3 linked regions of the Arabidopsis thaliana genome follow. The protein of the gene in region 1 interacts with the protein of each later gene in a pairwise test. Each region holds a gene or a part of one and is shown on either strand. Other genes may lie near its edges. The genes, in order: ETT, ATS and AT1G11810.

What was found.
Region 2: the proteins of ETT (region 1) and ATS interact in a protein complementation assay, tested with the Arabidopsis thaliana proteins (one study listed by BioGRID).
Region 3: the proteins of ETT (region 1) and AT1G11810 interact in binary tests that used the Arabidopsis thaliana proteins (3 or more experiments, as listed by UniProt).

What each region holds. Positions count from the first base shown.
Region 1 is NC_003071.7:14,322,760-14,334,204, forward strand, and holds ETT (Transcriptional factor B3 family protein / auxin-responsive factor AUX/IAA-like protein), read right to left. Parts: upstream 6,220-11,445; 5' UTR 5,855-6,219; coding exon 5,531-5,854; intron 5,498-5,530; exon of another isoform or gene 5,053-5,497; coding exon 4,996-5,052; intron 4,910-4,995; coding exon 4,727-4,909; intron 4,608-4,726; coding exon 4,523-4,607; intron 4,442-4,522; coding exon 4,351-4,441; intron 4,261-4,350; coding exon 4,096-4,260; intron 3,908-4,095; coding exon 3,788-3,907; intron 3,693-3,787; coding exon 3,617-3,692; intron 3,496-3,616; coding exon 3,333-3,495; intron 3,248-3,332; coding exon 2,685-3,247; 3' UTR 2,447-2,684; downstream 1-2,446. Other genes in the region: AT2G33855 (uncharacterized protein), read right to left, coding at 1,958-2,392. UniProt on the Arabidopsis thaliana protein: Auxin response factors (ARFs) are transcriptional factors that bind specifically to the DNA sequence 5'-TGTCTC-3' found in the auxin-responsive promoter elements (AuxREs). Could act as transcriptional activator or repressor.
Region 2 is NC_003076.8:17,071,316-17,081,533, forward strand, and holds ATS (Homeodomain-like superfamily protein), read right to left. Parts: upstream 4,590-10,218; 5' UTR 4,433-4,589; coding exon 4,045-4,432; intron 3,906-4,044; coding exon 3,829-3,905; intron 3,592-3,828; coding exon 3,552-3,591; intron 3,432-3,551; coding exon 3,311-3,431; coding exon of another isoform or gene 3,265-3,310; exon of another isoform or gene 2,989-3,264; coding exon 2,904-2,988; intron 2,802-2,903; coding exon 2,682-2,801; 3' UTR 2,358-2,681; downstream 1-2,357. Other genes in the region: AT5G42620 (metalloendopeptidase / zinc ion binding protein), read left to right, coding at 303-451; AT5G42635 (glycine-rich protein), read left to right, coding at 4,912-5,011, 5,064-5,153, 5,244-5,410. UniProt on the Arabidopsis thaliana protein: Probable transcription factor that regulates carpel integuments formation. Required for the specification of polarity in the ovule inner integument. Modulates the content of flavonols and proanthocyanidin in seeds.
Region 3 is NC_003070.9:3,985,739-3,995,159, reverse strand, and holds AT1G11810 (F-box associated ubiquitination effector family protein), read right to left. Parts: upstream 5,398-9,421; coding exon 4,264-5,397; 3' UTR 4,094-4,263; downstream 1-4,093. Other genes in the region: AT1G11820 (O-Glycosyl hydrolases family 17 protein), read left to right, coding at 1,833-1,902, 2,134-3,438, 3,745-3,772, 3,884-4,016; AT1G11800 (endonuclease/exonuclease/phosphatase family protein), read left to right, coding at 7,897-8,377, 8,609-8,757, 8,851-8,961, 9,056-9,421.

The sequences.
Region 1 (11,445 bases):
TCGTTTTTTTTTTTTTTTGTCAAGCAATAGAAAGAAAATTAGTTGACAAAATAAAAGGCGGGAGAAAATGGAGTTGCAAACTCCAAAATTTGCAATGGCAGAGTAATAATGGGAGACGACAGAGTAATAATGGGAGACGACAGACTTTGGGGGTAGCCACTATAGGGACACCGTCACACCGATAGGTTCGATACCATATATATGCTTTCCGAGCCTAAGTATGCATGCCTCTACGTTTGATTTCTAATTCCAAAGTGTCAGGCTTAAAATAGCGTCTACTAGTAGTGTTTTTTAACAATGGCTTCGTTAAACTACATGAATTTTACGAACACATAACATTTCACTAAAACTACTAGCAGTTGCATATCCACTACCAAATCATATAACACTACAAGTCATGATTTACTATTAAACAATCGCTAACTTAAACTAGAAAATATTATCTACCCTATATTTGGCCAAAGGGAAATATTTGTGTATCAATTTTTTTTGTTCTTTTAATATACCGGATTTAGAAAACTATTGGTCTGGTTCTCACTAACATCGAGTGATAATGATCCATAAATAAGCGAACATAACTCGTTCGTAAATCTTAAATATTTTTACCTAATACAAATTAATGCTTTACAAAAAATTCAAGCAACATTGACTTGTGTGAGTATGGGAGCTAGAGTTGGTACTTCTTCTTTTCAGACAATATTAAGATAGATCTCAACTGCCGAAAAATAAAACGAATAAACGGCTCCACAAATCTTTTAGGTAGAATATAAAGTAAGATTATTAATTAAAAACTTTTGATTTGGTTATGAATAGACCCACAAACAATACAAGCAAAGGTTGATTATCTACATTCGTTAGATTTGTCAAGGTACTAGGGATATAGCAAACGTGACTTGCAGTTGGAACTAACTAATTAGGACGGTGGGTTTAAGAGATAGTGAACGATAAGCGACTACAAGAATTGATACATCCATCAATTAAGCATTGCATAAATTATACCACTACACGTTGGTACGTGTATATTCCAACAACATTTGATAGAAGATTAGCACGTCAAGTTTGCATGTGGCTTCCGTAAGAAGCTGCAAGATGGACAACCATGTACACTAAATACTTCCATTATCGGGTATTCGATGGCATGAGAAGTTTTATAAATATAAGTATGAACTTCATTTATATGAATCTAAACCTTTTTCTGTGACTGTGAGATTTCTATTTAGTAGAGAAAGGAAACACTCACAAACACTAGTTTCACCAAATGCATCCACACTCTTTAGTCTTTATAATCCCGCTTGGTAATCATCCTCATAGATCATTTTAGTTCTTTTACTTGATTAATTATTACCTATTATTTTTCCGTTAAAATTTGAGTGTTCTGCTAATTAGCTAACCTACAATATCATCCATTTCTCTGCCATATTTTACAAACCTTAAGATTTCACCATTGCTAATCCTATATAATCCAAAAGAAATATTAATCCATTCCTCCAATAAAATAGCACCAGTCTACAACATACTATTCTGCTCAAGATACTAGTACTACTACCACTATTCAAAGTCCTTTATTATTTTTGTTTGTAACAAATTGACAATCATCACTACTGAACATTTTCAAGTTTTAAGCAAGACAAAGAAATCAAATCCCAAAAAACTTGTTGGGTTTCATAAATGTGACCCTATGAATGATGGATGCTACTTACATCCAAACGGAAGAATAGAAGACCCTTGAAACCAAACCGGATCAAGTCAAACCAAGTCCCTTGAAACCAAACCGAACAAAATAAAAAACCATACATATTACCGGTTCGATACGGCCGGTTTTTTTATTACACTAAATCCAAACGAGAGAGTATTGAGTCTATGTCTCTTCGTCTTCTTCATTACAAAACACACAGATCTTGTTTACAACAAATTCAATAACTTACAGATAATCTGTAACAGATTCACCACCATAAATTTACTCAGGAAGAGGATCCCATAACAAGAGAGTAAACAAAAGCAAATTCGGAACTAAAAGAGGAATATATGGATTCACTTCATTCACCAATCTCTTCCTCCTCAGCCTCTTCCTCGCATACTCTCTCCTCTCCTCTTTCCCCCATTTCCCTTCCTCAACTCCGACAGCCATAACCGCCGCCGGTGGCTGATAATACGGGCTATTCGACCTCCACGATGTATCAGGCAGCCCAAATCTCGATACCCTTTTGAAGAACTGAGAAACCCACCATTGACGGAGATGCGTCGGCGAATAGACCGGAGGGTAATCCCACGATACGTAGTTTGGAATTATGGCTCCGATGAAGAATTGAGAGTAAAGTGATGGTTTCGTTGTTGGGTTTGTGAGGATATGTGTCACCGCTTGTATTCTCTGTCCCCATGTCGTCTCCTCCATTGGCTTGGATTACGTTTTCTTTGAGTGGCACAGAGAGAGATAACGATATCGGACTCCTTCCGGTTAAATTAGAATTACGAATTGAACCGGTTGGTACAAACACAAATAACCGGAATTGATGCAAACACTTTTTAAATTGAACCTAACACAGAACATTCTTGAACCAAGTTTACAAGTCTCTCATAAGTCACAACTTGTGACATTCCAAAAGTTAGCAGCAAGTCATCATCAACTAAAATAAGAACTTTACTTAAGCCACAAGCAAATAAAACACAGAAACCAAAGAACCCTTCTAGAGAGCAATGTCTAGCAACATGTCTCTCATTGCATAGATGTCCCTTCCTTGCGAATGATGATGATTGCTTTGAACAGCTGACGCACCTTTCATGGAATTCCCTTCAACGCAGGGGACAGCCGTCGCAGATGCAACTGCTGTGGTTTCGTCGGTTAATGGGAAACCAAACAGCCTGCATCTGCCTGAACCTCCGTGATGGTCTTCCAGACGTCCGTTAGGACTGTTCGAGTTGGTAAGCAAGACGGAAGAGGGTGATGATGATACAGATGGGGGGAGGATACGTGTACTAAAGTTCTGGAACGGCCCACACCAAATGTTCCTCTGGCTCAACCCGTGCTGCTGCCGATGATCGGTTATTGAGTAGGCGGGAACTGTTTCTTGACCTTGCAAGACCTTATGGAAACCATAAGAGTCACCAAATTCTGTTCCTTTGAAGCGGCCTCTCCTGGCACCGGCTCCACCATCCGAACAAGTGTTGATAAAACCCGGAAAAATTTCTTGACCTTGCAAGACCCTCTGGAATCTCAATGATTCCTCAAAGTCTGTGGCGCGAATCCCCTCTGCAATAATAGCAGAAAACGTTATATTACAGGCGATAAATGGTTATATGAGTGGTACAATGTCTTTGGCTAAGTAGATGTGTACCAGAGACAGGGATATCAGGCTTTCCTGAGGAAAAGCCAATCCTGCTTCTCTTGGGACCAGTTGTTACGAAGCTGCCTGAATTGGAGATGGAACCAGATGGTTCGATCTCCCATGGCGAGACACGCTGTTGATGCCCATTTGCCACAATGTCGTCCCACCTTACCTGAATATGACGTCAAAACATAGTTTCAGAGCAGTGAGCTTACGGATATAGAAAAGGCAACAATCTTATAGAAGACCTCTCAGACCAAACTAATGACTTAAGAACATAATTCATAGCTTACCAAAAGGCATCTCCATTTTGAACCAGGCCACCTGATTGGATCCAAGTCGCTGATACCACTTATAATCCCAGGGGATCTGACAAAACAGGTGAAACATGTTAGAAAGTTGGGCATATAAAACACAGGTGTGCAAGGTTATCTTAAAGCTTGAATTATAAGTCTATAAGTAACCTTCTCTCAGATGCATCTTCAGATTCAACCCTCGCTTTAAATCTCATCCCAATGCAAAAGGGATAGTCAACAACCTTCAAGAACTTTGGTGCAGGGATTATGAAGTTTGACCAGCTTGCCCTGAAAATGTTTTACCAGTGAACTAGTATTAATGCTAAATTCCTGATATTTATTGGAGTTAACAAACTTCTAAGGAACAATCAACTAGAACAATACACAACTTAAGGCTTCAGGAGATTCTAATTATGATTCTGAAATGAAATTTTAAATGCTGAAAACGAAAAAAGGTCATTGTGGTTGGGGCTTACTTGGGGTTGTAGGAAATGCTGAAAACGCTATGGGTCGATATGGCATGAGCTACTTCAGAGAAATTGTTGTGGTTCATATTCTGATTATATTGAGCCGAGAGAGCAGCGGTGCCTTCGATTTGAGAAGCTCTTCTAACTCCCAGTCGCAGTTTGCCATCATCTCCTCTGTATCAGAGAAACCCATATATCACAAAACCTCTTACAGAAAATCAAAGAGGTTGTGTAGTGAGAAAACATAGAAGCATTTTTAACTACCTAAGGAAAAGCACAGCATCACCAGAGACAAGCTTCTTCTTGTTCACAAACGCACTCCACCCGGTAGTGAGCAAATGCCTCCTAGGTTGCCCTAAAAGTCACTCAAACCATTCAAATTTTCCATCTACTAAATCCAGGCAAGAAAAATTGCAACATAAGGCAACAAACTTACCTCGATAAATGTGGCGAAATCGCCACTCCAGGCCATGAAGATCCCTAGCAAGAAGCTCCTGAGAAGGCCGGGGCTGGCTATAGTCCTACATAACAAAATGATTATGTAGTTAAAATCTCTCAATATGAGCTAATAAGAGAACTCTAGAACACAATGTGCAATGTACAAAGCTGATTACAGAATCTACAGAGAGTGGATTAGTACCAGAGGAGGGAAGCAATCCTCAGCAGCTCGGCGAGGAACAGAGAAACCACCATGGGTGCTTGTATCAGAAGCAGTAAGGGTTTTGCAAAACATGTGAGGAGTATTAGACCTCTTAAGCACTTCATAATCTTCCTCTCCACCATCAACATCTATAATTCCTTCACGCACCTTCCTCTCAATGTCCTGTAACAAATCAACTCAAACCCCCTAAGCTCGAGCAAATTTCTCTCTCTTTGTTACAAAACTCAAGAGCCTAAAGAAAAACTCACCTCTGACTCAGGAAGAAGAGAGACTTGAGCATAAACTTCATCTGTAGTCGTCTCTGCCTACGAAATCAAAATCCCCCACATTTTGTTTATTAATCCTCACAACAACAAAAAAAGTTTAAACCTTTACAGAGAATTGAATTGTTCTGAAATCAATTGTCATCAAAATGGAGCAAAAGGCGAAACTTTGAAATCAAATTCATTATCATCAAAGAAAAAACTGAAGATAATTTATGGGGATTTCAAGTATTCGTCATCAAAATGCCACGAGAAGAAATGCAAATGGAGCAAAAGAGGAAACTTTTCTCCCAACATAAATTCGTTTGTCTCAAACAATTCAATAAACCAAAGGCACAAATCTCCATACTTGTATCGAAAACCCAACTCAGATTCACCAAACAAACAATTAAAAAAATCAAAGAATCAGAAAAACAGAACAAAACCCATATCTCTCTGCTTTGAGAGCAGAGGAGAAAACATAAATGAAGAAAACAAAACAAAACAAAAAATAGAAAGAAAGAGAGAGTTAGTTACATACGTGAAGCTTAACATCGAGAATACGACAGAACACGTGAGGAGGGAGCCCGTAAATCGCGGCGGAGAAATCGGGGGCTTGTTCCAAATGTCCCTGAGGGAAATACAACACAAGGCTTCCTCTTTTTGGTAGAGAGATAAGGGGTCCAGCACAAGCATGCCACAGCTCCAAACAAACCCCTCCACCAGCAGAATTCGAAGACACCACAGACACAGAAGCTGAAGAAGACGAAGTAGGAGAGACAGACCCAGAAGCTGAAGACGGTGTTTGCGTTTGCGTTTCGTCTTCCTCCGTCTCCATCACGTTCAGATCGATTAAACCACCCATTAAAGAGAGAGAAACAGAGATAAAGATAAGAGCTTTATTATAAGAAAGAAAGAAAAAAAACTCAGAGGAGTTTCTTCATGACTTTTACCCTCTCAGCCAAAAGAAGAGAGAGTAGTAGCACAGTGATGAGTGAGTCTTTAAGCCGTGGAGAAAAAAAACTTTTCTATTAAAGAAAAAAAAAAAACTAGAAAAAAAGTTTAGATTTTTAATTTGGACAATGTTAAAAGAGAGAGGAGAGAGAGAGGTATCAGAGAAACAGAACAGTACTGAGTGCTCTCTGCAACAGTGAGGCTCTCTGCTACGTCTGGTGACTGATGTGTGTGGTGTGGCTTTTAGACCTTTTGTGCGTGGAGAGAGAGACATTAGATGGGATTAGATTTTTGAAATAGATTGATTTCTTTGCTTTCTCTTTATATTATTATTATCTTTTACACAACAGTTTCTTTGCAATGTTGATACTATTGGATTTTAGTACTGATATAATAATTATTGTTACAAGTATATGGTTTTTAGTTAATCATTTATATATAATAAGATCTACAAAAGAATAATTTCGTCTCTGTTGTCTCTTTGTCTTTGAATCATTTTTATTGATATTATTGTGGGAGAAATAAAAGAATACTGGTGGCATACTTTTAGGGATTGATGCACATTATTAGTGAAATAGTTTAAATCATTTATCCATTATTATATGACTAGTTCATGTGGTTTTGTGTTTTGTGGCGAAGATTTGGACTACCGTTATATTCTAAAGTACATTGGGGGATAGTTTTCTTTCATGCCTTTGATTTTCAGTAGTTTAGTATATGGTGAAAAGGGTTGTATATTTTTCTGATTAAAATTACACCTTTGTGATAAATAATCAGTGTTTATTGCTGTTATTCGAATTCGGAACTAGTTAGATGGATTTTAAAAATATTTTAGAAGATCATGCATTAGTATATATATATATATTGGTTTGTGCTAATGTTATTGATCTATCATTTTAGTAAACGATTTAATACGACCTATTCATCATCGCCTAATCACATTGTTCCCAATAGATCACATTAATCATAGTCGACCACATTGTTTCTTCCTCACTTCTTGTTGTATTTTTTTATGAAGAAGAAACACATTTGCTTACTAAATTTGTCATCATTTTTAAACCAATGGTTGGAATGACTTGATACCATCATCAAGTGAAAGTTAACACATTTTGTTGCCAATGTGTCCAAATTTGGATTTGATTTGAAATAACATTTTATTTTCCTCTAACCAAACGATTCAAAATAACAAAACCACATTAAATGACTAACGAGGACTAAATTTGAAACAAATAACTTCGTATCTTGTGACAAATTTGATTTGTGAGCTAGATCTAATTTTTTTTGATAAAAAAATAAAGTTAAGGCAAGAAGAAACAATCTTAAGAAATTTGTGCATGAACCTGTTATCAACGGCGAATAAATTGATGGATACACAAGTCATCCGAATTTCTAAAGAAACCTACCTAATGGCTATTGTAAAAACAGGAAGAATTATTGCATAAGTACAAAGTAGGGTCCATTAATGGTAGGGCATATTGAGAGAAACAAATGGTAGAGATTATATATGTTTTTGGTAAGATGAGGTTTCGAAAATTCTTATAATTATGTCTACCCAGATGAGGAACTAGCCTAATCATATCAGTATATCACACTTTGAATTAAATTAGAGCTTAATACACATGCAAACAAAAACATTGTTCTTCTTTACCTAGTACATTGTTCACTCCTTTCAGTTCTATGCAAAATTAGATCGATTTACACTTGAACTAGTGATGATGCTATATGAAAGAAATTACAATGTTTATCCTTGAGTTGTGTTAGATATTTCGCAACTCATAAGTTTATTTTTTTCCCACATACTAATAAAGTTCGGAAATGTTTTTTATTGTATATAACTATGGTTTGTGTACATTAAATCTCTTGATAATAAATTTAATCTTTTCATAAATAAGACTATTTATGTAACATATTGAATTTAAGTGCAGTGTACGTTGATTTTTCCAACGGCATCAAAGTAAACGAGAGATTTGAAATGTTTTTCTTTTCTTTTACTTTTTAGCTTCATATATCAAACATGCAAATATCTTATCTATTGTCTCTGCTAAGTGATATTCTTATACCGTTTTAAATCTAAAAATACTAATCAACTTCTTTTACTAATAATACTTACTATCAAACCACAATTTGAATATCTTCTCTTTTTCCTACAAAACATTGTTGTACATATGTATAGAGAGTTAAACACAAACCAAAGCAAACATGAAAAGTACCCAACATTTTCTTTCATTGCCGATTGTTGTGAGAATGAATCTCATCTCAACAACAAGCACAATGTAGCAAACAAGAGAACAATGAAAGTACAAGTAAATACAAGAAACATGCAAGGGTAGAAATGTAAGATAAAAAGAATCTGCAAAAAAAAGGACAAATAGAGAAAAAGTGAGAAGAAGGTCTTAAATTGGGAGTGTCATAAATTACAAAGAACCCGAGGATCAGGGGGGACTTTTTTCTTTCTTTCTTTCAAATTTTTTTTTTCTCTATAAATAAAAAAGAAATATGTTTTTGCTTATTAAATTTTGATGAACACGCGAGACAGTGTAGATGTAGATAGATACAGCTATAGAAGAGAGAGGCACAACAACAACAACAACAACAACAACAACAACAAAAGTGGTTTAGAGATTGGGGCAGGACCCGGACAAAACGGGTTACAAATCCAAATACCCAATTGGTTAATGCCCCGACATCTGTTTCCTATCTTCTTTTGGAAAGTCTCTCGAGCCTCACGCTCTTCCCATTGCGCGTATTCTTCACACTCTCTTTGCTCTTCTTTGGTCTTCTTTTTACCCGTTTCAGACACTGTTCACTTACTTCTTCTTCTTCTACTTTTTTCTCTCTCTCTCACTCTCTTTGCAGTAGAACTTAGCCCCACTTTCATTCAATGCTTCGCTTTCGTTTTTTTATTCATTCGAGGGTTCAACACAATTTTTCCTCCTCCCAATATTTATTTTTGAGATTGTGATTTATAAAACTATCAAATACTATCAAGTTGTATCAACAAGCTACTTTTCATTTTTTCATTTGAAACAAAAAAGGATTATGAATGACACACATGTGATCGGTGTTGTACTTGGAGTTGAACATGCGCGACACATAGTTTTAAAGACAAGTTTGAAACGAATAACACATTTCTATTAATGTTTATAAACAATTGAAGAAAAGTTTCTACGTTAATTTTATTGACTTTAGGGGAAAAATGATTCTATCACTTGATATAGTAAGAAAAGAAAATGATGTTTGCTATTTTTCCTTATTTTGTTGATGTATGTTTGTTATTCATTCATCACTATTTTTTTTGTTAACATTGTTTAGTTTAGTTTGTTACGAATTGTTCTATCAAAACGAATTGCATATTTCAACTATAGCATTGTGTACATTTAAATTTTATCAATATTACTATAAAATAATAGACTACTTATTATGGTGATAACAAACACCATTAGTTCAACAGTATCAAGAAGATACTTATAAACTAGGTGAGACATGATTACAAATGACTTGACAACATAGAACTAAAACTGTCCTTAGGCTTTTACATCACTATCTCAGACGTCCCTTTTTTTTAAAAATAAATTAAATATATACGGAGTTATGTGCGCGTTGGTACACGCGGTGCAACAGAAAGTAAGGGTTGGGATACAATTTGTTTTCGAAGAGAGTAAATGAAATTTTCTTAAGAAGAAACTTTTACTTTTGTGTTTTTGACTGATTACTATTTCGGGCCTTTAAATCCAGCTTTAATCAGTTGTGTCAGTGCCACCCACCGCACTAAGATTGATTCATAATTACATGGTGCGTTTTCAATTTGATGCATTTATTTATTTATTTTATGTATTTCATGAAACAAAATATTTTCTTTTCTAATTAAGAGATTATGATTGTTTTGACTTATAATTTCTTTTGGACTAATGACCCGAACATACAAATTAGTTTCCCATCCATCATCAAGACTTGATTATGTGATCTTGAGATGTCATTTTTCTTTAAAAGTCCACTAGTAATGTAGTACACTATATTAAAACTACATTATTTTTGAAATCAAACATACTTAATGGATTTCTTCTCATGACTATTTTTAAGTTAATTATTGTTATGAAACTATACATTTCAAAAATGAACTGTGATTTTCATAACATACCAAAACATTTCCCATTAGAAAGCAGTCACTATAATGATCTTTAATTTACTTTGTAATTTAAATACTTGTGCATTGGATAGTTATATTTTATAATAATAATAAAGCTAATACATGAGCTCACTCAAAAAAATTAGTGAAGTTATCAATGAATTTCAAAATAAATATAAAACCAATATATCTCATAAATAATTCTTAATTTCTTGCCCCAAAAGTTAACTTTTCCAACAAGCCAAAAACACAATTTTTTCTTTTTTTTGAAGTCCTTTTATAAGTGCAAAAGTAAACTGTCTACTAGGGAGTTTTAGTTTCAAAAACCTAGTTTATGAGTAAATTGACTAATGACTATCTACAATTTACAAACCAAAGAAATGTTGGCGTATTAATTCCTCTCATTAGTGCGACCATAAGCAGATATACCAAACAAAAATATAATATCCAATTATTTGTTTTTTATTTATACTATACTTTTACGTATACGTCCTGTTATACGTAGATAACTAGATATAAAAACGTATTGATAAGACCCGTTATATTCGTTCCTCCATAGGCTGAATGTATGATGGAATGGTATTGGTCAACGAACAGAAAATTGCATTTTTCTGAACTGTTGTAAGAAGAATACGATTTCTGAATTTATGGAACTTTTGACCGTCGATACTAAAAAGATGACTTTAATGGTAATGACTAATGAGAGAGAGGAAATAAGAATGCTATAAGTACATAAGTAATTAAGAACTCCGTATAGGATTGCTCATTTAAACATCTACTCGTATTATCTTTCATATTTTAATTAGATCAGAAACTTATGAAAAGTTTTATCTAAGTTTTTCATATAAATAGAAAAAATCAAATATACTACGTATTCGAGTTATAAATTTCATCTTCCACATTGATAATCAATCCATTAGTTGAGTATAACTTACAAATAGCATTGTCGTTAGCTTATCCTATTATATTATTTGGGAAGTACATTTTAAATATAACTTTAATTTTTGTAAGTAACTACATATGTATGCCATTAGAAATAAAATTTTAAAGAGTAAATTAATTTATCTCTTTAAGGATTAAAAAGTTAAATACTAATTTAATTAATTAAATTTAATTAAAAAACGAAATACGTTATAAATTTTCAAAAATAATAACCAATCAAAATCAATATATAAGATTTGATATCTAAATTTTAATTAATTTAATTTAATTAGAAAAACGAAATACATTATTAATTTCCAAAAAAGTAACCTATTAAAATCAACAAATTAGATTTGATATCTAAATTATCATATTAATTTTTTATTAATTATTATAGTTCACTTCTCATCTTTATATGATTCTATTTTTGCGAAAAATAATATCATCATTATAAA
Region 2 (10,218 bases), on another chromosome or scaffold:
GATTGTCTTCTTCTTCTTAGCTCTCTATATGTGTCTCTAATTCATTCTTCAAGCTCTTATGTTTTTGTTACGCTTCTTAGACTCTAGAGGTGCACTTTGGAGTTGGAGGACTTGTTCCTCAACAGCAATCGCTAGATAAAAGTTGTCCCGGTCACTCTTTTCGATTGGTCGCTTGTGATGTTGTGTACATTAGAGTGAGGACCATTGATGATCTGCAAGTGTTTGGCAATGTCTAGATGAAATGGAGAAATCTATTTGGTATCTATAGCAGAAACTTATTTTGGATTAATATATAATTGCAGAAGCGGATTTGCTTGGATGTAAGCGTGTTAGTATACCGGTCAAACAAAAGCATAAGTGGGTGAAGCTACTCTTTGTATATCTTGGCGTGGTACAAGATAAGACAATTGCTCTACATTTGATAGCCAAGCTGCATGCACACTGCACGTAGCGAACCCTAATTTTCGCAAGAGGATCAAACATATTGAGACTGATTATCAATTGGTTCAGACACATGTACAAACAACCAAGAATATTGCCAAATTCTAACTAAGGCGCTAATTTTGGAAGAGAGTGTTGTGATATCTGTTGATCATATTTTTTTTTCTTACTTGTAGATACGCTTATCAAGAAAGATTTGATATCTTGTTAATAATACCAAAACAACAAATATGGTGTTAATATTGCTCCAATAGAACGGTAAAAGTGACCCTAAATATTCTCTTGGGTGTTTTATGAACAATGTCACACCATATTATTTTGTTTTGGTATCGTGTTGGAGATGCTCTTAGCCAGGCCCGGCCCAGAGCTAAAGATGGTGAAGTTAGAGCTTTAGGCATCACATTTTAGTAACAAAATTTGGGGCATCAAATTGTAAAATTGTTGGTGGTATAGTGGTCAACGTGTTGAATAACCTTCTTTTATGTGTCTAGTTCGAGTCTAACTTTTGTCAGAATTTGTTTTTTTTTTCAATACCTCATTACGAATGGGCCAAACACATTTTTGCTTTACGCAACAAAAAGACTTGGACCGACCCTGCTCTTAGCCATTCCAATCTAACAGTAAAGACTCTTAAAATTTCCTTCATCTAATCTTTCTATAAATAATTTGATACTTGGTTTATACGCTTTTAAAATAATTTATTTGGTGCCGGCTCATCTAGATGTACTCTTGAAAAAATATATTAATTTATTTATATTTTGTTTTAGGTAAAATAATTAATTGTTATATAACAACTAAAAACCAATATACCGTCAATAAATTGTATGTCTTCACTTTTAATAATATGAACTTTTAATTATAGTTAATATGACATTATAATTTGTACAAAACATCTAAATAAATATCAAATTAAATAAGATTAAAGAGAATTAGTACAATGTAATGTATTTTCTTTCATTTTAAATTTATAGATTGTAAGTTTCTATTAATTAAATTAAAATATATCAGTTATAAAAATATATAATGTTTGTCAAACTATTAAAAATAAAGAAAATTCTAAATTGAGTAACATAATAAGAAAAAATTGTAACACTAAATTTGGTGTTCCATGGTTGGAGTTGCTCTAATACTATAAAGATTGAATATCAGTGTTCACTCAACCTGTTCATTTTCCGATCTAGATGAAATAAATTCATTAAAATTGAATTGATGTCACTCATTACATCATTTTAATTAGGTGACGTAGGTTGCATGGTGTGTTTAATTTCACATGTCTAATTTGTCTGGTTAGGGTTATTTTGTGTTTGCTATAATGTATAATGATATACATTTTGCTTTGACAAAAAATATACATTTTGTTTGTTGTAACCTATAAATATATCTTTTATATTTCGTTTCATCGGACATTTTTAAGGAAAACTAGAGAATTCAAAACTCCATTTTCAAGATGTTACAAAACAAAATGAGTTTATGTTCGCCACTAGATAATTATTTCACCTTTTAATTATTTTAATCATTATGATTATTACTCCAAGGTCTTTGATGAGCACAAGCGTCCATGAGGAACAAAACCCGACGTTCTGAAGGAAGTCAAGGTCGCTATTGGCCTTACGTAACAAAGCTACCGATCAAGACCAAAGATCATATCTTCTTTTATATATTAAAATTTAAATATGCAGTCCATGAGCATGATATAATATTCTCTTTGAGAAAAAAAAATTGATATAATATTCTACCACACATCTCGCAATATATGTGTTGACCCATTATTCAATATAAGCAAATAATTTACTAAAACTATAGATTTTACTTTTATGTAACAAGCAAAAAAAAAAGAATTGACCACGTTACAAAAAAACTCTCCATATATAACCAGAGTGGGAGCAGTGGAGCATACCAAAAGAGGAAAGAGGCAGCAGAAACTTTTTAGTTACCAGAGAATCTTTTCCAATTTATATTAAAGTGTGATAATGGAAGATTGAGATGTTTTTTTGAAGACTGAAACAAAAACAAGTTATCTCTACTTGAACTTGTACTCCCTTCTCATCGCACTACAACAATACTTACTACTTCAAACGATTCTCTTGATTATACATATCAAAAAACTCATAGAACATTCTTGGAAAGAAGTTCATATATGATGATAATATGATTCTTCCGAAGCTCATATGATCAAAACAAGTTAAAATTATGTTAAAACTGGTAACCTAAGCTGACTTATTTGTTGTAGCTTAAGGCAATTAGCACTTGAGAAGGGTTAAATCACTGGAGGGTTCCGCATATTCCATCCCCCAACTAGGCCGCCCCAATGTGAAATCCAAATTGAGATGAATGTTGGTATCCTCTTTCTCTTCATTGTCCTATTTTCAAAATATTACACATTATAAGTACATAAGTAAAAGTGTACCATTGTTACCATTGTCAGCATGCAATTAATGAGAGATAAGGGATAAATAATGTACCTTAGTGTGATGAGTTGTTCCCAAGTGAGAATATGCTTGTGTAGATATGCTCCTAGATACTTCCTTTGTCGATGACCATGAAGCTCTGTTCAAATTTTAATAATAAAACACATTTTAGAAATCTGTTTATAACTCCTATTGCTGGACAAAATTGTTGTATTTGGACCTACTTCTATATTATCATCAATTAATGTACATATACAAATTAACAAAGAAAATTCAAATATCTTATATTTCTAATTAGACTAAAACCAAAAACAACCCTTAACGAATTTAATGAGAGATGGAAAAGTACATTCACATAAGCCCTAGGAGAGGGTCATATTCATCAAATTTCACACAGAACTAAGGCAAAAAGAGATTAAATGCAAAATTTTACAAAAATAAATATATAAATAAAAAGTAACCTTTGGGTCTTTTGCACAGATGATGAGTTTGGCGAATTTGTGTCAGTTCCTTCATCAGCTTCTTCATTATTATTATTGTCCTCTATCCTCTGCTCTGCCTCTTTCTCTACCTTTCCTTCTCCTGTTTATTCCCAAGAACAAAAATACAAATTTTCTTTTAAAAATTAATAAATAATGAAATTTTATTTACATTTATATCTAATAAGAATGTAAAAATCAGTGAACTAGTTTGAATGCATACCTGGTGATCCTTTATCAGTGCATTTCACTGTTCTATACATCTGCATTAACAATCACACATTCTTGAAAAATCAAAAACAAATTAAAGGACGAAAAAAAATAAAAGAAATGTTTGGCTAAGTTCATTTCAACTATGCAATCATGCGTTAGATAGTGGCCCAATTATATACATTTCATACATATTTACATATACCTATATATCTATCTACATTTATGTGTTTGAATTCGTATGAGATTCCATTAATTTATATATAAAAAATGAAGAAAAAATAATGAACCTGCAAGTGACTCTTGACATGAGCTAGGGTTAGATCCTTCACATTCATGAGCTCCAACACTGATTTAGGCGTTGCTCCTGAGACAAACCAATACATGACAAATCTTAATACTTTGGTTTCAAAACGTTACACTAACATACCAATCTCGATTGGTTATGTCTTTCTTTTAAAATTTTTTTTGATTAGTATAGGAAAATGTAAGAGGACAATACATACTTTCATGGCCGCCAAGAAGTTGAACAGCATGGACGAAGTGAGCATGAAGAGTAGAAGTCCATCTCATTCTTGGAGCACGAATGCTTCGTTTAAGACCAACCATTGATGATGAGCTTCTCTTGAAATCTCGACCGTAGATTTGAGGTTGGAACATGTTTGAGCGCCTTTGATGATGATGGTCAAATCCTAAGCTCAAGAGAGGTTTGTTGAAGAAGTTGTTCTCATGGCTCAGGTCACTGAGGCTGCTTCCAGAATCACTGCTTGTGGAGCTCCGGTCACCGCCGTGAAGAGGTTTTCCGGCGTGATAGTTAGGAAGACTGATCTGAAGAGACAGATCTGGGACTGAGTTTGAAGCTCTCATACTGTTTCTTGACTCTAACATCATCATCTCACTATTTTCTTTATGATTCTTGTCTACTTAAATAGTGGAGATCAAAGAATGTGTGGAAAGAGAACGAGAGAGAGAGAGAGAGCTCTGCAGAAACAACACTTTTATTGAGGGAGAAAAAAAAGAGGTAAAATATTATATTTCTCCATCGTTGTCATTATCTCATTAATGTATTAAACAAAATTCTATTGTCTTTTTCTTATTATTAAATGGTTTTTTTTTCCAACAAAACAATTCTCTACAATACCTTATTATTCTGAAAACGCTTATTGCACTCTTTTCCTAGTACTACCAAATGTTAGTCCCAATGTAATAACCAAAAAAAAAAAAAAACTAGAAGTGAGGAAATATTTATAGGGTGAATTGCAAAACTAACTGTTTTTGATAATTTATTTAAGAAACTAACACTATAATATACAAAATGTAGAAATTAACACTAGAGGGTAGTAAAATTACTAAATTAGTCTTTTTGATTGGAGATGGTAGTGGTGGTGATGGTTGTGGCCGGTGGTGGCCGGCGGTGGTGGATGGAGTTGATGGTGGTCGGAAGTGTTGGTGATCGGTGTGGTGGTTGCTATGGTGGTGGCCCGCGGTGGTAGTGGCCGGCGGTGGTGGTGGTGGCCGGTGGTAGTGGTGGCCGGTGGTGGTGGTGGCCGGCGGTGGTGGTGGCCGGCAGTGGCGGTGGTGGTGGTGACCGGCGGTGGTGGTGGTGGCCGGCGTGGTGATGGCCGACAGTGGTGGTGGCGGTGGTGGTGGCCGAAGTTAGTGGTGGCCGGAGTCGGTGGTGGCCGGATTTGATGGTGGCCGACAGTGACGGTGACCGGTGTTGGTGGTGACCGGAATAGATGGTGGTCGGAGTTGGCGGTGATGGCCGGCGGTGGTGGCAGGCAGTGGTGGCCGGCGGTGGTGACCGGCGGTGGTGGCCAGCGGTGGTGGTTGCTACTGAAGGTATTGAGGCAACAAGGACAAATTGAGTAATATTACATATAATACAGAGAATATTATAATTACATAGTTAGGATGGTTAGTTAGTGAATTATAGTTTTTTTTGTTAGTTATTTATGCAAATTTCCCATATTTATATATACTAAATCTTGTAGTCAAAAGCGTTGAGTTTTTCTTACTTTATGTTTGAATATAATATAACATTATATGTTGAAAGAAATTTAACAACTATCAATCTTGTCGAGATATAGGAATTGCTCACATCGAATGCCATATTACTTGTAAAACTCGTGTGTCTTCTTACCGTTTTCTTAAATTTTTTCTTTCTTGAATGCTCTTTTTTTTTTTTTTTTTTTCCTTCTAGCAATCCTGAAAAGATGCAATTTAACTCATTTGATTCTCAACTCTCGATGAGTGAGGATTAGAATTCTCAACTTTCATCTAATACTAAGAAAACATTCAAAAGAAAAATGAAAAAGAGAGAGTGATTATATTTCTATATAGTTGGAATTGTGAGAGTATTGTGGTGATGTGCCCAAAAAGTTAAATGCAGTAACTTGGCCAAAATAATTAATAAATAATGATTTTTTACCCAAGAATAATAATAATTTAAGAAACAACAAAAGAGTAAAAAAGTTGGAAGACTTTTATGACAACGTAGATTCTGATTAGTGGTTAAAAAGGTGAAAACAAGCACAGAGAGAAAGACTGGGTGTGATAATTAGATAATGAGTACCCTATGATTTGCTTGTTTACTATTTTCTAATATATAAAATAAATTATTTTAAATTTCCAATGCAAGAAAATAGGCTTTTAAAAGGTCTCTGCCTCTTAGGGCTTGATAGAGAATACAACAGAGTTTGCATTTAATATTTTACTGCAAAACCTTCAAAGCCTCAGATTTGAAAAGTTGACTGGGAAAGCAACCGCGGCTTTGTCATGGAGATTCTTGTTTGAACCACAAAGTCCCTCCAAAAGGAAAATTTGTTTATCTTTCAAGAATTGAGGAGAAATAAAGACAACTAATTACTCTCAATCGTATTATTTTAATTAATTTTCATGACATGTCTCTTGGGTCTTGGCCATTAAAAGAAGAATCGTACGGTCGATAATATTTTGCTTTTTCTCCGACAATATTCTTGTTTACATAAGCATCTTATTGTGTTTTGTTAAAAAGAAAAAAATGGTATACTTTGTTAAAAAAAAAAACAGACAAATGATAAAAACCTAACATTCCCATTGATATTTATTATTTTGTTTATATCAATAAGCATCTGATTAAAAGCAAAATATTCTCTTAAATTAACATTTAACCAATATTTTTTTATATAAAACATAAGAATATTTTTTTTTTGTACAATTAAAAAAACTTCAAAAAATAATAACCACCCGTTTTTTTTTTTTTTGTGTGTACGATTAATAATAGTAATATTCACCACATTTGAAATTTCTCAGATAAAAATACAGCAATAAAATTCGATGTGTACATAGACATCATATTACATGTCTCCAGGCGCCAGATTAATGGCTTGGCATCGAAAAAGCCGAAGTGGTAATATACGATGGAATATTTGGAAAGATAATTTGCTTTGTTATTGATTGATGGAGACACCATTAAATTTCTCTTGTTTCATTTTTTTATTAATTAATTTCTATCTGCTTCCTTTTGTTTGTTTCTTCTCTCTTCTTTGTTGACACTCTCAAGGCTCCTTTTTAGGTAAAATTTCTGGAACTCTCAAGGCTCTTGCTGCTCCTTGCTTTGCTATTGAAAACAAGAATATATGTACTTATTACATAGATGATTTTTTTCCTATTTAATTTGTTTTCTTTTGCAAATTGACAAACTAAATAATCTCCAAGAATATATTGTACTTATTATACTAATTGTATAGTTAAATGATAATAATAAACGAAATTCAACATTCAAAAGGCTAAGATTGGTAGCCATGTGACACTGGTTAATGTTGACTATGAGTATATATGTATCATGTTCTAATATGATTTGAATCAATAACATATAAAAGGAGGCATTCTAATAAATAAATAGTAGTGAATGAAACAAGATAAATTTTTAACTCAAGAAATTTTTTCACTTTCTATCTGTCTAATAGGTTTAAGATGATAACCATGAGCTGTCGTATATTTCATAGATTAATTGTGTATTAATTATGTTTGATCGAGATTTCGACGGGTTAGAGTAAGATGCATTAATAAAGGTGTATCATAACTACAATAAGTCTTTTTTTCTAGCATTGAAAATTTGCAACAAACTGAATCCATTTAATAAATTATATCATAGAACCATGCATTAATATTTTAAATGTGTATTATGACTACTCAGTGTACCCATGTGGTGTGTAATATAGTCAAATGTCCTTTTTGATATTTTATTTTGTTGCTTCTCGCATTTTATCTTAAATTAAACATGAGTTGGAGAATGCAAATATTCCATTTTTTAGAAAGATTTGTATCATTCCCACGTATGTCATCGAGCTCATACATCTCTTTTGCAAAACCCCACGGAACTTCACTTATTATTGAATAACATTTTACATTCTTAACTATCATTCTACATGGTCTAGTGGTTTCGTTAGATGTACAATATTTTTATTACAGCGGAATTCACATTAAACATACTCTACGAAGTAATATAGATTTCAGCTTCCAATCTCCCACCTACAAAAATAGAACTTACAGACTCCACAAATTATGTTCAATCATCGTTTTCCACATTGATATTTAAGTATAAAAATTTTATTAAAAAAATTGTAAACTCCTTAAGAGACACATGAAAGCTAAAACTGCCTTTATCGCTAGAGGACTAATTTATGTTCAATGTCTACGATAACGCGAAAAGTTCATAGATAGACTAATAATATTATCTATGAATGGAAAACAAAAGAAAAGATTCTACACTTCCTGTATTATCGCTGGGCACACGTACGTAGCAAAAATGGACCAACCTGTACACGTGCTTGGACCTATCGAATATCACTCGGTTGGTTAAGAATTAAAAGTAGTGATTGTGGAAGATTTACATATTGTGATTACATAATGATTAACAAAATGAGAGGCCAACAAGAAGAGTTGTTATTAGTAAAGAGAGTAATTAAGAGTGGAATAAAAGATACACTCCGTTAGAGGAAAATTACGTTATTTTGACGTAAAATAAATAAATTAATCCAATAATGTTATTAATTATATATATATGAAAAATCAAGTGACTATAGATTTTCAAGTAAAATTATAGTTTGTCAATAAGTATTTATGACTTTTTATAACTATATGTTCACATTCAAATAATTCAAAGTAGAAAAATACACTAATTGCCTATAACTAAAAATGTTAATCATAATCCTATTAAATAGCCGAACTTTTAAATTATATGGACTCTTCAGATTAGACGTACAACTTTATAGACAATTTTCACTATGTGGAACTTTGGCATTACGTACCAATCCTATAACCATGTTAATTTTGAAGGATATTGCTATATGTTTATTAATCGTTGCCAACTTCTGTGTGAGACCCCGAAGATCCTCGATGTGAAATTCACGTGTACAACCCACTTTGAATCAATAGTTACAATAAATTTAATCTCAAACATTTGCTAATTACATCTTCAAATAAGTAAATATGTATATATGAAAAGAAATAAGTTTACACATTTATAAGAATGAAATTAACTAGAGCAAACTTAATATTGGTCACATCTGTTTGCAAAATGCAAATACATTCATATATATTAAACTATATAAAATATATTTTAGAATAAATAATACTTGTGTTTTACATAGGGTAATACACATTGTAACATCAATAATAGTAAATTGAACAACAATACTATATAGTAGTAAAATTAAATAGTAAAATCATTTATTACAAAACGTTGATAGAGAGGAGAGGACAGGGGAAGGCGTTCTATTCAACGTGTAGCATTTTGTCGTGGCACGTAGATGCTGCATGAGTTCCCCAATATTCCCTCCTCATTAAAGGTTTTCACTAGTTTTTCATAAATATTATATTGATAATTATGTATTTGTTACATCTATAACCTATAGTATTAGTTTTACCATATTAATGTGTTTGACGTTTTATATTTTGTTTGGAGGAAGCTGTCGAGCCCCACATTCCTCGGCGCCAACATGGCCTCTCCTCTCACGTGACATTTATTTATAATTTTGGGTTGCTTATTAAATTAGCTAATTCCATTTTCCGACATCTACATATGCCTCTTGTTTATCCCACACGCACTCTATCATAACATTATCATTGCCGGATCCTTTTTTGAAACTATGGTCCGATAAATCATTGAAATTGGTTAGCTCAAGTTTAGCTATGATCTAATTATTGGCATTTGTACACCACAACTAAGCAAATTTTTCTGTTTTATAAAACCCTAACAGGATAGTAAATCAGCTAAACCGGATGTATTACGATTTAACCTAGTCCGATCAGTTTAACCCGATTATATGAATTCAGAGCTTATAAATGAATTTCGATTAGTTTCACGAATTCTGGATGATTTACTTATGTTATTTATGATATTTTGGATTGAACTATATATCAAATATGTTTTAGTTTTCCATTGGACCGATTCAAGTGAACGGTTTGTTTTGAAAATTGTGAAATCAGCTACCTCATAATTTTTCAAAAAATAATATATTTTTTCTTTTTTTTGCAATAGTTAATATATAGTTGGAATCATATTGTTCTTTCTTTTATATTTCTAGCTATTTACTCCACATTTATATTATAGTTTTGGTTGATAAACTCAATTCACGTGAAGATTGGACGAACTTTTTGGTCTATAGTTGTTCCAAAAAACTCTATAAACTAGT
Region 3 (9,421 bases), on another chromosome or scaffold:
CGACACAGACTCGAGCATAGAGAAAGAATCTCATTCAAGTAGAATCGTGTTTCATGTGATTTTGGAAAGGCATTAGCCAAGGCCCACACAAAATTGTGAAATTAGAATTTAGCGAGGGAGTGAAGCCCATCAGTCCGTGAAATGGGATCTCAGCCCATTTAGAAAATATTTTATTTCTTTTGTTTATATATATTTTCTGGTGTTTTGTATGAAATTTGGACGATGTCTTATTCACGACACATCATAAGCTTTCTTTATCGACATGTTTGGTTTTGAAATGGAATCATTTTCTTCATTCTTCTTTTTGGCACTACCATAAAAAGAAGGCTTTTTATGCATTAAATTTTAAAAGTAAAAACGATAAAATTGGCTTCACATTGAATCTTTTGAAGCCATGCGTAGTGTATACCGAGACTACATTATGAAAACGACACACCTCTTAGCAATGCGGTAACGGATTGTAAATTTTAAAATCAAACCCTTTGTATAATTTCAATATATATAACTGTAGATTTAATAATTCCTATAAACAGACGAAAAAGTGTCACGGTTCATTGTTATTTTGTTTTCCGTAATGAAAATCTGTTTATTTTATTTATATAAAGGAGATAACTAAATTGTTTCAGGAGATTGGCATATACTATAGCATATAATTCAGTGTGATTTCATGATTCAAAGAGTGTTTGTTTATTGACATACATACATACAGAAAGCTTTCCTCTTTTTCAGAGTTTGTTTCTTTGTTTGTTTAATCTGTTATCTTATGTTACATATGGATCTCTATGTTAGTATGTTTGTTGGGTTGCTGTATTTTTTTTTTTTTGTCCTCTCTTTCTTCTCTTGCTCGACTAGAAAGAAGTCTACAACTTTACAAAAGAGACTATGTAAAAGTGATACAAAAAGAGAAAATGTATTCATTTTGTCTAACATAATTTCTTTGTATATAAGTTCCCTTTAAACAGTTTAGTCGGTGCAAAAAGATTCAGGCTAACAATATTACTTGTTACGTTTTCTTGAGACATCTATTTTTATTTTTTTTCTTGTATTGTTTGAGATGAGAAAAAGTGTTATCAACAAATAAATAAAATGGGCCATTGTCTTCTTGCTGTTCAGCGGAAGCATGGGTTATATTGTAATTCTCTGTTTGTCAACTTGTAATTCAATGTGTTTGATAGATATATTTCAATGACCGGAAAATAAATACATAGAGAAAACACCTACATAATATAATAGTATAATTCAACTAAAGGCCATTGTTATATGCTTTCAATTGTCCACTTTTATTACATGTGGTCAACACCAACATCCCATTTCCAACCCAATATACAAAACCAAAATAATAATAAAGAATAATATTTTTTATTTTATTTTATCTTAATTGTTTGAAGAACTATTATTTTAGACAGAGTCTTTTTGTGTACAAGCAATTCAACTTTATTTAATTTGGTTTTTTACAAAATTTATGGATGAAAGAAAATATTCCAAATGGACCAAATCTATTAAAGATTACATAGTGATGCCTAGCTGGTGCTTTTATCGGAATTCAAGGGCATTACGGTAAAATATCACATATGGTCTGAAAAAAAAACAGTTTGTGTGGGGAGGAGCGAGCAGAGTCGGTTCACGTGAAAGCACAGAGACATAAATCTTTCTTTCACAGCCTAAAACCCCTAAAAATGTCTAATCTCTCTTCTTCTTCTCCGTTTCTCTTTAGATTATCTCAACCATACAGCCATAAATCCATCGGAAGAGGAGGAAGATAATGCAAGAATCAGTCGCTGAGTCTGAATCTGAAGGGGAAGAGTTGCACAATAAGCTCAAGCTCCTCTTCAATGGCTTTCACTAGCATGGTTTCCACCGTTCCTGTTCTCTTCTTCTTCTTCACTCTTCTTTTGATTTCTGGTAAGTTCACCAAACAATTCCACTTTTCAGTTCAAATTCCCCCAAATTGACGAATTTTACATATTTCAAATAAAAAATTGTTTTTTTGGTCTCCTTTTGAGTTAACACTTGGCTAAATATTACTTCTTTTGTTTCGAATCCAAATCTAGACAAAACCCATTTAGTGAATTCTTAAACCTTAGTTAGAAATCATTGCCAAGTTTCGATTTTTAACTAGCTTTCTATGTGCAGCGAATTCGTCGTCTTTATCTCACAACATTAAGGTTCAGGAACAAGACAAAGATCCCTTCGTTGGTTTCAACATCGGCACAGATGTCTCTAATCTTCTCTCGCCGACGGAATTAGTCAAATTTCTCCAAGCTCAGAAAGTAAATCACGTCCGATTATACGATGCTGATCCAGAATTGCTCAAAGCATTAGCTAAAACCAAGGTACGAGTCATAATCAGTGTACCAAACAATCAGCTTCTCGCTATTGGATCATCCAACAGTACTGCTGCGTCATGGATTGGTAGAAATGTTGTTGCTTATTACCCTGAAACATTAATCACAGCCATTTCTGTTGGAGATGAGGTTTTAACAACTGTGCCTTCTTCAGCTCCTTTGCTTTTACCTGCTATTGAGTCTTTATACAATGCTCTTGTTGCTTCTAATCTCCACACTCAAATCAAGGTCTCTACGCCTCACGCAGCTTCCATCATGCTCGATACTTTCCCGCCTTCTCAAGCTTACTTTAACCAGACTTGGCATTCGATTATGGTTCCTCTGCTTCAGTTCTTGTCGAAAACAGGTTCTCCTTTGATGATGAATCTGTATCCTTACTATGTTTATATGCAGAACAAAGGTGTGGTTCCGCTCGATAACTGTTTGTTTGAGCCATTGACACCGTCTAAAGAAATGGTGGATCCGAACACTTTGTTGCATTACACGAATGTTCTTGATGCTATGGTTGATGCTGCTTATGTCTCGATGAAAAACTTAAATGTGTCTGATGTGGCTGTGCTTGTGACTGAGAGTGGCTGGCCTTCGAAAGGTGACTCGAAAGAGCCTTATGCTACTATCGACAATGCTGATACGTACAACTCGAATTTGATCAAGCATGTGTTTGATAGAACTGGTACTCCTTTGCACCCTGAGATGACTTCAAGTGTCTACATTTATGAGTTGTTTAATGAGGATTTGAGGGCTCCTCCGGTTAGTGAAGCTAGTTGGGGGTTATTCTATGGGAACTCTACACCGGTTTATTTGCTTCATGTATCTGGAAGTGGAACGTTCTTAGCGAATGATACAACAAACCAGACTTACTGCATTGCTATGGATGGTGTGGATGCGAAGACGCTTCAAGCTGCATTGGATTGGGCTTGTGGACCTGGGAGATCTAACTGTAGTGAGATTCAACCTGGGGAGAGTTGTTACCAGCCGAATAATGTGAAGGGACATGCTTCGTTTGCTTTTAATAGTTATTACCAGAAGGAAGGAAGAGCTTCTGGTTCATGTGACTTCAAAGGTGTGGCTATGATCACTACTACTGACCCAAGTAAGCTCTTTTTTTCTTCTTCTTTTTCTCTTGTTATGGTTTATAGTTTGAAGATCTAGAGTAAAAGACTTATGAAAATCAACAAACACCATCTGAGTCTGTTAGTTTTTAGATCCTAAGTTGGGAGAGTCTATAGGAGCTTTAACAAGAAAATATTTATCAAGATCATATACTTGTTGTGTAAATGATCTCGAGTTCCTTAAAAGTTCGAAATTGTGAGTTAACTGGATACATTACATAGTTCTTTATCCTTTTCCATTTATTTCGTTATAAAATCTATTAAATGAGGAGATGCGTATGTTTCAGGTCATGGAAGCTGCATTTTCCCGGGAAGGTATTGCAAGTTCTTGCATTGAACTCCCTTCTGGAAACTCTTTTATCTATATGTTTAGACGAGATAAAGTCTTCATTCTTTTAATTGGTACTCTTACCTCATTTTGTGCAGCAAGAAGGTCGGAAATAGGACACAGACAGTGGTGAATTCGACTGAAGTTGCCGCGGGTGAAGCTACTTCAAGGAGTCTCTCAAGAGGCTTCTGTGTCACTATTATGATTCTTGTAACATTTTCCATATTGTAACCCTTTTCGTGATTTTTATTTTTGGCGAGTTACCAATTTTAGGTCTTGAAACATTTTATTTTGTTATAATTTTGTAATTTGTTGTTGTGGCAATAAAATTAAAAGAAATGAAGTAAAAACAGAAAACGCATCAAGATGTTATCACAGCAGCAAATATCCCAAATAAACATGAAAAAGCAGAATTGTTCAGAAGGAGATGAAAGTAAATGACTGAAACAAAAGAGAGATAAGAAACATAAGAAACAATCTAGTCATCTCTTGCTTTCCTTTTACCCGTCTTGTCGATTTGCAATGAGACTAAGCTTGGAACATAAGAAGTGAAGTCTTCGGGCGGAGCATCTCCAACGGTAAAAGAGGTGAAGTATCCATCTCTTCCAAAGATGAAAGCATTTCCGTGGTTGAGATCCAACTCTGTCTCTTGACCGAAAACTACAACGACTTGCTTCTCCTCGTCAACGATGAATCTCCCAGCTATAAATACATCCGGAAAACCATCCAGCGTCGCCAAGTCCACTTGCAAAAACTCTCTCCACGACACCTTGTTGGGCTCGATCTCAGTCGAAATCCAAATACCTAAAGTGTCACGTTGATATAACACAGCAAGATGATCATCTCTAACACAAGATATAACCATAATGCCTTCTCCTTCATCACCCAAAGACTCAAACGGCAGAGACAGAAGCTTTCCAAAACTCTCTCTTGTGAAGTCAAAACAGAGTAAATTATATTCCCAAACTCCTTCTTCAATTACCTTTATAACCCGAAAGTAAGCATTTCCCTTCAAAGACACGCTTCCTAGTCGCCAAAGATGTATAGATTTCTCGAGATCAACATTAAGATCTTTCCATGAATCGGATTTTAAACTGTAGATTTCATAACCACCAGAAACAGAATTATTTCTCAAGATTTTGTGGTTACGGTTTTTGCTGCTATCATATCCGAAAGCATACGAGCAAAAGTTCTGATAACTCTCGAACAAGCTACGGTTTTGAATCAACCTAGTTTCCCCCAAGTACATGTTACATACCATGAGCGTGTAGTTGCTGTAGTGGTTATTGGAGATGCAAAACAATAAGCCGTCGCAGTGAAAGAGTTGAGATATCGCGAATCCATCAAATGCACTTACTTGATTCACTGATGTGTCAACAAAGTCATCGCCGCCATTTAGGTCCAGCTTCATTGAACAGATCTTGTCACCAATGAGGATAAACCCTACGTGACTGCTTTTCCTTGCGGTTGCTTTACCACCTACAAGATTGGTTTTCGATGAAGCCTCCCATTTCTTGCACGTTGATCGGAGTGATCTAAGAGATGTAATGGGAACCCTAGCGAGAATCTCGTCTACCAAAACCACTGGAAGGGTTGACATCGTCGTCGTCATTTCTCTGAACTTCAGAAAAACCAAGGACTGTTAGGGGTTGTTTCGTTTTTGGGTTCAGTGTAGCCACTAGACAAATGTGTTAGTTTACGATTTAAGGGTAAGAAATCTTTTCTAAATTGGCAATAAATGCTTAATACAGAAGGAAATCTGGAAAAGATTTTAATTATTTTTGGTGGATTTTATTCCATCTTTGTATCCCTAATCTACAAAGGTGATTGGTTAAAATGACTAACAGTAATCTTGTTCAAAAGGACGTTACACGAAACAAAAGGAGATGATGCAAGAAGAAAAAAAAAAATTATTGTAATCAGTGGAACTAATTTAATAATCTCTCTCGTTACTTTTGCCCGGTTGATAGATTCTTCGTATATGCACTAAACTTGGAACGTAAGAAGAGAACACAAGTGGATCAAAATAATATCTAAACATTTTAGGTTTCGAGATGTGATCTGTTCCGATTTTCACAACAGATTTGTCCAATGATGTTAACTGTTTCGTATCCACAGTTTTCGTTCGGTCTATACTTACGAGATTTGGAAACCACAACAACTTTCTTCTCCTCGTCGATATAGAAGCTCTCAACACGAAATTTACTCGAAAAATCAGAGAGCGATGTCCTTTCCATTGTGAAGAACTTGGTCCATGCATGATACTGCATTGGACTCAATTTTAGTCGTTATCTCCATGACCAAGTCCAAACATAAGTCGTAGGGTTGATATAACATAGCGAGCTGCTCTTCTCTGATACAAGATATATAGAGTCACAGTCTCTTCATCACTAGAGTGAAACGGAAGAGGAAGACGCGGTCCAAACCTTTCTGATGTAAAATCAAAACAGAGTAAAAAAACAATACGATTTGAAACTGCATGGCTATCTGACTTCTTTTTGTGGAGCATAATAATAAGTATTTCCCTTCAAAGACACACCGTTGTTGTTGTTGTTGTTGTTGTTGTTTGTCGTAACCGAAAGCATACATGTCTAATCTGTGGAACTTATGGTATTTGCTTCTTGGTTGGATCCACCTGAATTCCCCTTAATAAGGGTTCCACACCATGAGCCTCCTTCTCCTTTTGTGTATGACGCATAACAATCAAGCCGTCACAGTGAAATATATTAGATATATCGTATTGATCAACTATATATATTTCCTTTAAAGATGGATCAACGAAATCGTTGTTGTGGATTCCTTGGAGATCAAGTCTCAGGGAACAAACCTTAGAATACATTACTACGAAACCTAGAAATTGCTTACTTGTATCTGCTTTAATTACCAAAAACATAATTTTCCGACAAAACGTTCCAGGATAAAGTGTTCCACGTTGTACAAGTACATTGCACTTCACTCAGAGATATCAATGGAACTCTAGAGAATATCTCTCCCACCAAATCTACTGAAAGATCGGACAAAGTCGTCATTATTTGTTCGTCTCCTTAAATGATGAAGTGAGAGACGACACTTGTATATTCTTTGCTAAGAACCGTCATTTGTGATCAAAGAACAACTTGACCAAATGATAGATACTTATTGTTCTGGTATTTACAACATTAAGAACTAATTACAACTTAATGAAGAACAGAACTTGCTGGTCTTTGTGTTAGTCTGACTGTAGACCATAAGTATTAGAGATCTTAACTCATTCATTGATCTGTAAATAATTCACAGAACTAACAACTCCTTATAAAGCAAACAAAAAAGGACCAATCCAAAAACTTGAACTTTTCCTACTATATACATCTTCAAAATTAGCTAACAAAAGAAATTAAAACTTCAAACAAGAAAAAGATCTAAGAACAAAAATATCAGTCTCAAAGATTGCTTGCGGTGTACGTCAAAGAGAGCCAGAAGAAGATATATTAGGTTCCAATCTCATACTTGAACCAACCTTGGTTTCAAGCTTTCATTAGTAATTTCGAGAGCGAGTCAAGGTTTGATCATCCAATGGGTGGCTTAGCGATTCCTTGTCCTGAAGATACCTACATCACTGCAAATCCAACATTTTGTTCTTCCGAGTTGAAAAATAGACTTACTCATTTTAAACGTAGGAGTTTTTCCCCCTCTTCTTCTTAAAGTTTGAAGATAGAATGACAGGTTTTTGCAATAGACATGATCATGTTCATGTCAATACATTTAGGATCGATCTTAGAAAAAGAAAGACAATAGACTAAAACTAGTCATCTAAATTTTATTGCCAAGAGATGTACTTCGAAAATGCTAGTATAGATTTTAGTCTCTTGACAATAAAATTTTGTATAAAATTTGTCTCCTAAATAGTATGTTTTTGTTTTTGTTGTATTCCCCAACAGCTAATTCTGTCTTCTGGTATATGGGTATACTTCGGTTAGTTTCGGTTTGATTACGGTTCACCTTTCAAATTTAAACATTGAAATTGTAAACCATCTTCTTTGTCCAAAACGATGTCGTATAATAATAACACGTAGCCGTTAAATGAAAACCGAAGCGTCAAAAAATCAAAATCGATAAAAACTAATTAGGGTAAATGTCAACAACAATCCGATTTCTGAGAATTGTCACAAGTCGAGCAATGTCGTCGTCTTGGTCCTGCAACAAATGTACTTTCCTCAATTCTGCGTCTCAGAAACTCAATTGCATGATCTGCTTGGCTCCTGTATCTCTCCCTTCTTTGTCTCCTCCTCCACCTTCTCTCTCAATTTCCGCGAACGATGAAGCTAAATGGGCTTGCAAGGCCTGTACTTTTTTGAACACGTACAAGAACTCAATCTGTGACGTCTGTGGAACACGATCGCCAACGTCTTCTCTCTTGGGATTTCAGGATTTGACTGATTCGGGTCTCGAGAGTAACGACGCTGATTCCTCCGTCGGGTCTGTTTTCTTTCCTCTGCGGCGGTGTATCAAGCGTAAAGCTATGGATGATGACGTCGTCGAGGTCGATGGTGCTTCTGTTGTTTGCTCTGAATCGCAAGGTGTCATGAAGAAGAACAAAGAGATTGAAACGAAAGGTCGGTTTTTTTCTACTCCCTAGGGTTTTAGGTCTTTGTGAATTTTGGTATACTCATTGTGGCTCATACCTTAGATATCAGTTTGAAAGACGAGACTTATTACTGTATGATTCCTGTTTCATCTAAAGCTTGTTATTGGTTTTTGATTACTGCTAAATTGTGTGAGTTTGATTTCCATTGTTCCTCAATGCAGAAGTCTTTACTTTTTTTGTCATTGTTTGGTTTTTGTAGGGGTAGCTTCTGATTCAGGAACACCTTTAACTTGCTTGAAGATCTTGAGCTACAATGTTTGGTTTCGTGAAGACCTTGAGTTGAATCTAAGGATGAGAGCGATTGGTCATCTTATTCAGCTTCATTCTCCTCATCTCATATGTTTTCAGGTCACTTTTACATTTTGCTATAGAATGATTTCTATCTGCAACATTTAGAAATAGCTCAGCTTTCTTGACAAGTGGTTTTTGTGTGGTTTGTAGGAAGTCACTCCTGAGATATATGATATTTTCCGCAAGTCGAATTGGTGGAAAGCGTATTCTTGTTCTGTCTCAGTTGATGTGGCAGTTTCGAGAGGCTACTACTGCATGCTGGTAAAGATTGTGCTTGCTTGGCTTAGGCTCTTGCCGTCTGTATCTGAATAATTCCCTGTGGTTCTTGTAACTGACCCTTATGTGTAATTTGCAGTTGAGCAAGTTGGGAGTGAAATCTTTCAGCAGCAAAAGCTTTGGGAACTCGATAATGGGAAGAGAACTATCTATCGCAGAAGTTGAAGTTCCAGGGAGAAAGCCACTTGTTTTTGCAACTAGCCATCTTGAGAGTCCCTGTCCAGGTCCTCCAAAATGGGACCAAATGTTCAGTCGAGAACGCGTTGAACAAGCCAAGGAGGCAATTGAGATTCTCAGACCTAATGCCAATGTGATATTCGGGGGAGACATGAACTGGTGCGACAAGCTAGATGGGAAGTTTCCTTTGCCAGACAAATGGGTGGATGTTTGGGAGGTTTTGAAACCAGGTGATTTGGGTTTTACATATGACACAAAAGCAAACCCA